Linked DNA regions of Macaca fascicularis. The protein of the gene in region 2 interacts with the protein of the main gene of each other region in a pairwise test. Links are inferred from orthologs where the notes say so. Each region holds a gene or a part of one and is shown on either strand. Other genes may lie near its edges.

What was found. The genes of interacting proteins can lie anywhere in the genome.
Region 1: the proteins of TRIM27 (region 2) and TUFT1 interact in binary tests that used the Homo sapiens proteins (3 or more experiments, as listed by UniProt). The two-hybrid records come from large-scale screens. The link is inferred for Macaca fascicularis from reciprocal best matches to the Homo sapiens genes TRIM27 and TUFT1.

Annotation. Positions count from the first base shown.
Region 1 is NC_088375.1:109,640,034-109,644,525, reverse strand, and holds part of TUFT1 (tuftelin), read left to right. Parts: intron 1-2,227; exon of another isoform or gene 2,228-2,334; coding exon of another isoform or gene 2,335-2,337; intron 2,338-2,788; coding exon 2,789-2,902; intron 2,903-4,492. UniProt on the Homo sapiens protein: Involved in the structural organization of the epidermis. Involved in the mineralization and structural organization of enamel.
Region 2 is NC_088378.1:144,252,405-144,256,996, reverse strand, and holds the start of TRIM27 (zinc finger protein RFP), read right to left. Parts: upstream 2,984-4,592; 5' UTR 2,633-2,983; coding exon 2,213-2,632; intron 980-2,212; coding exon 884-979; intron 1-883. UniProt on the Homo sapiens protein: E3 ubiquitin-protein ligase that mediates ubiquitination of various substrates and thereby plays a role in diffent processes including proliferation, innate immunity, apoptosis, immune response or autophagy.

The sequences.
Region 1 (4,492 bases), on a different chromosome or scaffold from region 2:
AATATCATGTATATGTTATATACATACCATATACATGATAAATATATGTATATAATATATATGTACTTTTCTCAACTATAGGATGGTAAATACATTTTTCTTTGCTTGCTTTTTTTTTTTTAACTAAAGAGTATATTATAACCTTCTTTCCATGTCAGTATATAATAGATCTACCTCATTCTTTTGAATAACTACATAGTATTTCCTTCCATGGCTGTACTTGATCAATTGACTGATTGACTGACAGAGTCTTACTCTGTCACCCAGGATGCAGTGCAGTGGTGTGATCTTGGCTCACTGCAACCTCCGCCTCCTGGGTTCAAGCAATTCTCGTGCCTCAGCCTCCTGAGTAGCTGGGACTACAGGCATGAGCCACCACGCCTGGCTAATGTTTGTATTTTTAGTAGAGATGGGGTTTCACCATGTTGGCCAAGCTGGTCTCGAACTCCTGACCTCAGGTGATCCACCCACCTCGGCCTCCCAAAGTGTTAGGATTACAGGCATGAGCCACTGCACCCGGCCACCATGACTGTATTTTTAAAAAGTGTGTTTTTATGTTTTTTTGTGATTATATAATACAAAACATTCATACTGTAGAAAATTTGGAAAATTCAGAAACACAGAAAAGTGAAAGAAGAAAAAAATGTCACTTGTAATCTACTCAGAGAAAAACCACAGTGAAATTTCATCTTTCCCTGAATGCAAATATATATTTATAATATTCACATTGTACAGTATGTGGCATGTCTTTATAATTGTTTTTTTTTTTTGTTTCTTTAGTTGGGTATGTTTTGGCATTTGGTGTTTTTGGCCCTCAGGTATAGGTTGAATCAGACCCACCCATTAGTTCATGGCACATCGTCCTCGTGGGTCCTGTCAAGTCCTCTCACTGGTTTTAGTTTTTGTTTTTTGTTTTTTTTGCCTCTCCACCTCCTGCAAGAGGCACTCACTCTAATGAATTCAATATATGGCTTTAAATATGTCTGTAAAATGTTTCAATATACGTGATGAACTTGTGCTATATCTTCTTCAAGCAGTCCTCCCACCTCAGCCTACCCAGTAGCTTGTTCTTATTTTCCCTGGTACCATGTTTTTTAGGATCTATCTAAATTGCTGTATTAAAATCTAGTTCGCCGGGCGCGGTGGCTCAAGCCTGTAATCCCAGCACTTTGGGAGGCCGAGGCGGGCGGATCACGAGGTCAGGAGATCGAGACCATCCTGGCTAACACGGTGAAACCCCGTCTCTACTAAAAATACAAAAAGAAATTAGCCGGGCGTGGTGGCGGGCGCCTGTAGTCCCAGCTACTCCGGAGGCTGAGGCAGGAGAATGGCGGGAACCCGGGAGGCGGAGCTTGCAGTGAGCCGAGATCGCGCCACTGCACTCCAGTCTGGGCGACAGAGCGAGACTCCGTCTCAAAAAAAAAAAAAAAAAAAATCTAGTTCATTGCTTCTGCCTCTACATGTAGTTTTATAACTTACTTTTTTGCTTCATATTATATCACATGATGAAATAATATTTTCCTGAAAGTTTTCCATGCCATTAAACAGCCTTATGAGAACACTCTTTGAAATAAGTGCATAATAGTTGTGTTCCAGGAGCCTTTTAAAACATTTTCACCTGCCCATTGGCTCAGGTGAGGATTTAGGGAAATTGACTGGATAACTTATGACATCTAGATTTGGAATGCTGTGATTCTTAACCACTTGCTTTAGATGTGAAGCTTGGACTTTCTCCTTCTTTTGAATCACCATATTTGGCAAATACATTGTTGGCAACAAATTACAATAACACCTGGTAATATCTGTTTGGCCTCTTTCTTCTCACAAGCTCAAAGCTGTACCGGATGTTATCTTACCTGGTTTTGAGGCAGCCTGTAAGGCAGGGTGTGGTAGGGAGTGTACTTACTGCCTCACAGATAAAGAAATGAAGGCCCACAGGACTTCATTTCTTCATTGTCACCCACAGGATGATAATGCAGAGACTGGGACCCTGTCTCCCTCCTCCCAGCCGAGAGCTCTGAGCTCTGGTTTGAAGGCGTTGCTGCTTCCCACTGTGCAAGATTGGGAGAGATTTTTCTGTCAAACTCACAGGGAGTTCGTAATCGAAGTGTCTGGTGCCTGTGCAGCAGAGACGGGGGCGAGACCCTACGTGTTAGCTCATCCCTAACCACCAGCCCACGGTTGGGTGTGTCTGGGAGAGACTGAGCAGTTACCTCGATGAGACACCGTTTTCCACATCGAATCAGATTCCTGGACTCATTGCATGCTTTTGCCATAAACCTGTCCATCCATCAGTAACCCTTTATATGCTGCTCTCCGTGCCAAAAGCTGAGAATGGTAAAGGATGTGCTTTTGGACCACTCCCTTTGTGATGGGTGCGACATAGTCCCTGTCCTGTGGGAACTGTAGTCCAAAGGGGAACATGGTCTCTGCTCTCAGACAGTTGTAGGCGGATAGAGGGAAATAGGACACACACGTAGAGACAGCAGCCACATAGTCGCCAAGAAATCAATCAGTGGATACATAAGTGAAATACTACTGAGCATGTCCTAAAATAATTGGGTGTTTTGAGGCTAGCAGGGTTCTTTAGGGTATGAAAGGACAATGTTTCATTGAATAACTCAGAATTCCTGGCTGCCTAAGGTAACTCTCCCCTTGTGTGACGACAGTTCTTTTGTGAGGGTGGTCTGGACGAGATGGTCCAAACCAGTGTGTGCCTGGGAGGGGACTTTTATTACTGAGTCAGAAACTTGATGGCTTCCTCTTCCCTTCCTCGCTCTGGCTGTAGGTGGACACCTGTATAAATGAGGATGTTGAGAGCTTGAGGAAGACTGTGCAGGACTTACTGGCCAAGCTTCAGGAGGCCGAGCGGCAACACCAGTCAGACCGTGTGGCTTTTGAGGTGAGATTTGGGATTTGGGGAGAAGGTACCCTAAGGGATGGGCTACCGAACACAGGTGCCAGTGATGTCTCAGCTTGGACTTCCTGTCTCTCTGGCTGAGTGCCACAAACTGGAAAACAAGACTGTGAAGCCTGGAACGCTTGTCTGCTTCTCCCTCTCCTGGACGTTTATACTGTTTACTGTCCAAGGCCGGCCCATAGTTCAAAGGTCAGCTTGGGATTCTCTGTTCTGATGAATTTGAGGGTGGTGCCCATCTGGGGCAGCCAGTGATTCAGAAGTCATTTCTGTCTGTGTCGTGGTAAGAATCCCTGGGCTCTTGAGACTCTGTGCAGGCAAGGACTGCTGTTGGCATGTCACCCCCGCGTCCCTAGTGTCTGGCGCAATACCTGGTATTAGATAGGCGCTTCATAAACGTGGACTGGATGAGTGACTAAATCTGTGTTGTTGTAGAAAGAACTGCACCCATCGAGTTGGAGGATTTGGGCTCTAGACTCAGCTTTGCAGAGCTTTGTGGTCTAGAATGAGTATCTTTTTTTCACTCTGCCACCAAGCTGGAGTGCAGTGGCACAATCTTGGCTCACTGCAAGTTTCGCCTCCCAGGTTCAAGCGATTCTCCTGCCTCAGCCTCCCAAGTAGCTGGGATTACAGGCACGTGCCACCATGCCCAGCTAATTTTTGTGTTTTTATTAGAGACGGGGTTTCACCATGTTGGCCAGGCTGGTCTCGATCTCCTGACCTTGTGATCCACCTGCCTCAGCCTCCCAAAGTGCTGGGATTACAGGCGTGAGCCACCGCGCCCGGCCTGGAATGAGTATATTAATTACTGTTATAGTACAGAAGTCTATAAATGGAGAGTAAAGCCCCCTACTATATGTGAGGTCTTCCATGTTTTCTAGAAAATTCTTTGAGTATAAAACAAGGTACATGGGCAGTTTCCTTCCTCCCTTCCTCCCTTCTCTTCCCTTCCCTTCCCTCCCCTTCCCTCCCCTCCCCTCCCCTCCCTTCCCCTCCCCTCTCCTCCCCTCCCTTCCTTTCCTTTCCTTTCTTGACAGGGTCCCACTCTGTTGCCAGGCTTGAGTGCAGTGGCCCAATCTTGGCTCAATGCAACCTTCCCTCCCCTCCCCTCCCCTCCCCTCCCCTCCCCTCCCCTCCCCTCCCCTCCCCTCCCTTCCTTTCCTTTCCTTTCCTTTCTTGACAGGGTCCCACTCTGTTGCCAGGCTTGAGTGCAGTGGCACAATCTTGGCTCAATGCAACCTCCACCTCCCAGACTCAAGCCATCTCCCACCTCAGCCTCCTGAGTAGTTGGGACAACAGGTGCACACCACCATGCTTGTCTAATTTTTGTGCCTTTTGTAGAGACAGGGTCTTGTCATGTTGTCCAGGCTGGTCTCAAACTCCTAGGCTCAAGCAGTCTGCGTGCCTCGGCCTCCCAAAGTGTGGGGATTACAGGCATGAGCCACCACACCTGGCCCATGGGCAGTTTTCCAACTGCTCTGTGTGAAGTTAACCATTTGTTACCTGCTTTTGTTCTTCCACAAGTAACATATTCTTTGTGTCATAAATATGTTATGATAGGGTTATATCCTGCAT
Region 2 (4,592 bases):
AGAGTGCTGGGATTACAGGTGTGAGCCGCCACCCCCCCCCCATGCCCTGCCTTGTTTTTTTTTTTCTTTTCAAAACAAAATTCCCAGTTAGGTGCAGTGGCTCACACCTGTAATCCCAGCACTTTGGAAGGCCAAGGCAGGTGGATCACTTGAGGTCAGGAATTCGAGACCTGCCTGGTCAATATGGTGAAACCCCATCTCTACTAAAAATACAAAAATCAGCTGGGTGTGTTGGTACATGCCTGTAGCCTCAGCTACCTGGGAGGCTGAGGTGGGAGAATCACTTGAAATGTGAGGCAGAGGTTGCAGTGAGTCGAAACCTTGCCATTGCACTCCAGCCTGGGTGACAGAGTGAGACCCTGTCGGAAATAAAAAGAAAAAATTCCCATATACCCCTATCATAAATTAATACATCAGCCACTTGTCGAGGCCTTGAGAGATTGGAGGAAGAGAGCAGAGCAAAAAATTCAGAATTAAGGCATTGTCAAGAAAGGAGAATAACACAAAGAGAAGCAACAGTGGGACTTACACAAATCCACTATTAGCACTTGTCTGAAGAATGGTAACAACGCAAGCTAACTGTATCCAATAATTTTACCCATCTCAGCTTTGCCAAGGATCAACCTTGGTCTACGCAGTTAGCAGGTTAAACTATACTGACAGGTCTGATTTCCAAGGGTTCCAAACTTGGCTCCTCCACGCTTTCCCCAAAAGAAAGGGAATCTCTTAGTTCTCTGGGTGAGTTCCCACTGCCATGTGCAGTTGATCCCCCTCTACCTACAGGTTCTGGGTGACATGCTGGACAAGTCTAAGGGAAGTAACATCAGCTCTACAGAAGAGGGGAGCACCAGCAGAAGCGACTGTGAATTCCAACAACCCTTACCAAGAGTTCAGCTCGTGCCTGTTCCCCTTGGGCCCGACGTCTCTTCTTTAAATCTTTCACTCTTTTTAAATGGTCAAGCTGGTTCTGGATTTGCTCCTGAGAAAAGCAAAACAGATGGGCAGTTCAAAACTAGGTAGACCTTAGCATCAGCATGGTACTTCTAATCACACATGGAGTCCACACACCTGATGCCAAGTATCCAGTTGGCACTTGTTCTCAGGCCACACTGCCACCCACAAGAGAAAGACTCAGGGCGCAGGGGCCAACAAGCCACTCATTTGGCAATTTGTGTCTATCTTAGCAGCCTGTCGCTTCAACCACTCAGCTACCTCGTCAGGATTATTTGTGTCTATCTTAAACAATGAATCATCTACCTGTCCCTGGTAGGATATCGCATGACTTAGCGGAACTGTGACTGGAGTAGGAGGCTTAGAGTTATGTTGTATTGTAGCTCTTCCACACAAGCATACTGTGAAAGTGACTTCTTATTTCCCTCATGTGTGAAATGGGCAAACACCATCTTCCCAACCTACTCAAGAGTTCTCACCAGAGTAAGTGAAAGAATATAGCTGAAAGGTCCATAAATGTTAAGTGATTAATTACACATGAATGTATTCATATTTAAACACGGACATAATTGTGTATGAATTCCTGAAGCCCTCAACATACAGAAAATACACAGTATCATGGACTCCTTGAAGGTCACCTTACAACTGTTTTATATGTAATATTTTGTTTCCACGTTTCTGTTTAGCTGTGCCAGTTCACAGAGGGCTCTGTGCATCACATGATTCCATAATCTTCCTCATAACTGTTATCTCCTGAGTCTCAGAGTGGTTAAATGACTTAAGCAGTGAAGAGCCTGTTCTTTTCTGTGAGTTTCTAGACCAGGACGTATTGCAGGAAAGTGCTGGGGAAATGCTTATAGACCAAGGAATGGGCATCGGTCAGTTAATGTCCGACTGCGTTTTGTCTGACAGCCGACGAGAGTACATGTGTCTCTACAGCTCGTCGATGTGCAAGCGATTTTATGCACTTCTTTTATACTGTCAAAAGCATGTCTCCGTGTACAATGTGTCCGTGAGACAGGAAACATGGGGGCACACAGAGAAAGGAGAGTGGGGGTGGGGAGACTTCTGGCTCCCTCGCCAGCTACAGGTTTTCCTCCAAATCTGAGTGCTGAGGCTCTGGAGCGGACAGAGAGGAAATGACGGCTGTGAACCACACGTCCGGCTCAGCCATTTTCTAGGCGGAAAAAGGGAAGCCCCTTTGGCTCTCTCCTCCCTTTGTCCGACTCGCGTTCCCGCCCTCCCGGATCCGCGCCCTCACCTTGAAGCCCTCCACTGCCTCCTCGAGCGGCAGCACGCTGTGGCCGCGGTGCTCGCGGGAGCGGTCGCACACCACGCAGATGGGCATCTGGTCCTCCTCGCAGTAGAGCTTCAGGGGCTCGCGGTGTTTCTCGCACACGCCCATCTCGCCGCCGGGCCCCGACGGCCGCTCGGTGCGCAGCTGCTTCACCAGCTGGGTCACGTTGGCCAGGTGCCGGTTGGGCCGCATGTGCCTCTGCGGGAAGGTCTCCCGGCACTGCGGGCACGACACGTTAGTCTCTGCCGTGCCCCAGCAGCGGGCGAGGCACGCGCAACAGATGTTATGGCCGCAGTCGAGCATCATGGGCTCTGCGAAGTACTGCAGGCACACGGGGCAGGTGGTCTCCTGCTGCAGGCACTCGGCCACGCTCCCGGAGGCCATGGCGCGGGCCTGCGGGGGCTCACGGGCATGGGCCCCGGCGCCGAGCTCTGCACGGAGCCCAACTCTCCGGCGCTCTCTCCCGTTCGCTGTTCCTGGGAGGCACCGGGCGGACGGAGGGCGGTGCCTCCCGGGCCCGTATCCCAGACGCGCCCGCGCACCGAAGGCTCAGAGTGGCCGGGCCGATCCCTGCGCCTGTGCCCCCTGAGCGAGTGCGGGAATACAGCCGGCTCACAGAGACTCGCGGCCACGTTACTGGGGCAGGAACGGGTAGCCAAGGGTCAGGATCCCAGGGCCAGGCGCGCAAAGCGCGCAAGACAACGTGGCCGCGTCCGAGCGGATCCCGGCGGCCGCGTAGACCCCACCCCGGCGCGAGCGGAAGAGGCGGCTCGGGGGGCGGGGCTTGGCCCGCGCTTATAGTGTGTGACAAGATTTCGTGGCCTCGGGGCCCGGGCTGCTTTCTCTAGAAAGGCCTGGGAGGCTCCGCCACTCTCCCTTGGGCGGGTCGCGCCGAAGCTCTAGCCTAGGGGACTGGTCACAAAAGCAGATGGTGCCACACGCTCCGGGCCTACAATCTTCCGCGACTGCCGGGCCCAGGCCCCTAGTGTTTAGTTGGGTTTCTTCTTGGTGCCCAGGTCTCAGCCCCTGCTAAAGATGGCTTTGGCCGCGCGCAGTGGCTCACGCCTGTAATCCCAGCATTTGGGAGGCCGAGGCGGGTGGATCACGAGGTCAGGAGATCGAGACTATCCTGGCCAACATGGTAAAACCGCATCTCTACTAAAAATAGAAAAATTAGCCGGGCGTGGTGGCAGGCGCCTGTAGTCCCAGCTACTTAGGAGGCTGAGGCAGCAGAATCGCTTGAACCCTGGAGGCGGAGGTTGCAGTGACCCGAGATCGCCACTGCACTCCAGCCTGGGCGACAGAGCGAGACTCCGTCTTGAAAAAAAAAGAAAAGAAGAAAGAAAGCTGGCTTTATATAGGTGCTGGGGAGCGCAGACATCTGGCTTCCCCAAGAGGCTGGAGGATGAGGAGGGTCACCGTCTGAGCCCACCTGATAGGTGAGGCCTTTTATTAAACAGACCCATTTGTAGGCACTTGCAGTTTTGTTTAGAAAAAGAAAGGTTTAATTATCAGATGGTAACATTTCTGTGTGGCAATAACAAGCCCAGCTCTGCTACCTCTCACTTGTGCCCAAGCAAGTTGGTTTACCATTCATTTACCTCAGTTTCTCCTCGTGTGAAATGGGGATGATAACTGTACCGCCGTAAAGAAGTAGATTTCGTTACATCTTTTACTTTTTGAACCATAAGGTTGTTTATCCATTAAAATAGTAACAAAATGCCCATTACATAGGGTTGTTGTATTGAGGAGCAACTAAAAATTGCTTGCTCCTTTCTGAAGTATAGAGAGACTAAGAATCCTACAGTGACCCAGGGTCTTGGAGTCCCACAATACTCGTTGTCTTATCATGCAGTAGACCTCCAGCATTTTTAAGTTGCTTTCTTATCCCTTGCTTGATGTCTCCTGCTTTTCTTTGAGATTTTCTCAATATTGTCCTGCTATCTGAGCAATACGGGCTTCTGCTTCCAGACCTTACTTGATTTTTATTTTATTTTTTCAAAGTGAAAGTACGTTTATTAAGAAAGTAAAGGAATAAAGAATGGCTACTCCATAGGCAAAGCAGCCCACATCATCACTTTAGAGTTCCCCTCTGGTCCTCTTCCCCATGGGACAAGAAGTCTGAGGGACTAAGTGCACTTGCCAACCCCAAACCCACATCCACCTTGCAACCATACTCTGAGTACCCAGTCGTTCAAATTCCAGTACCAAATAGCCCTAGCCCATTTCCAGAAAAACATAGCGTACTTGGGCCAGGTCACACAACAGTCCGGTCTTGGATTGAGATTGGGTCAACAATGCAATTTGTAAGAATTAAAGGATATGTCTCCTTTCGTTTACTCCA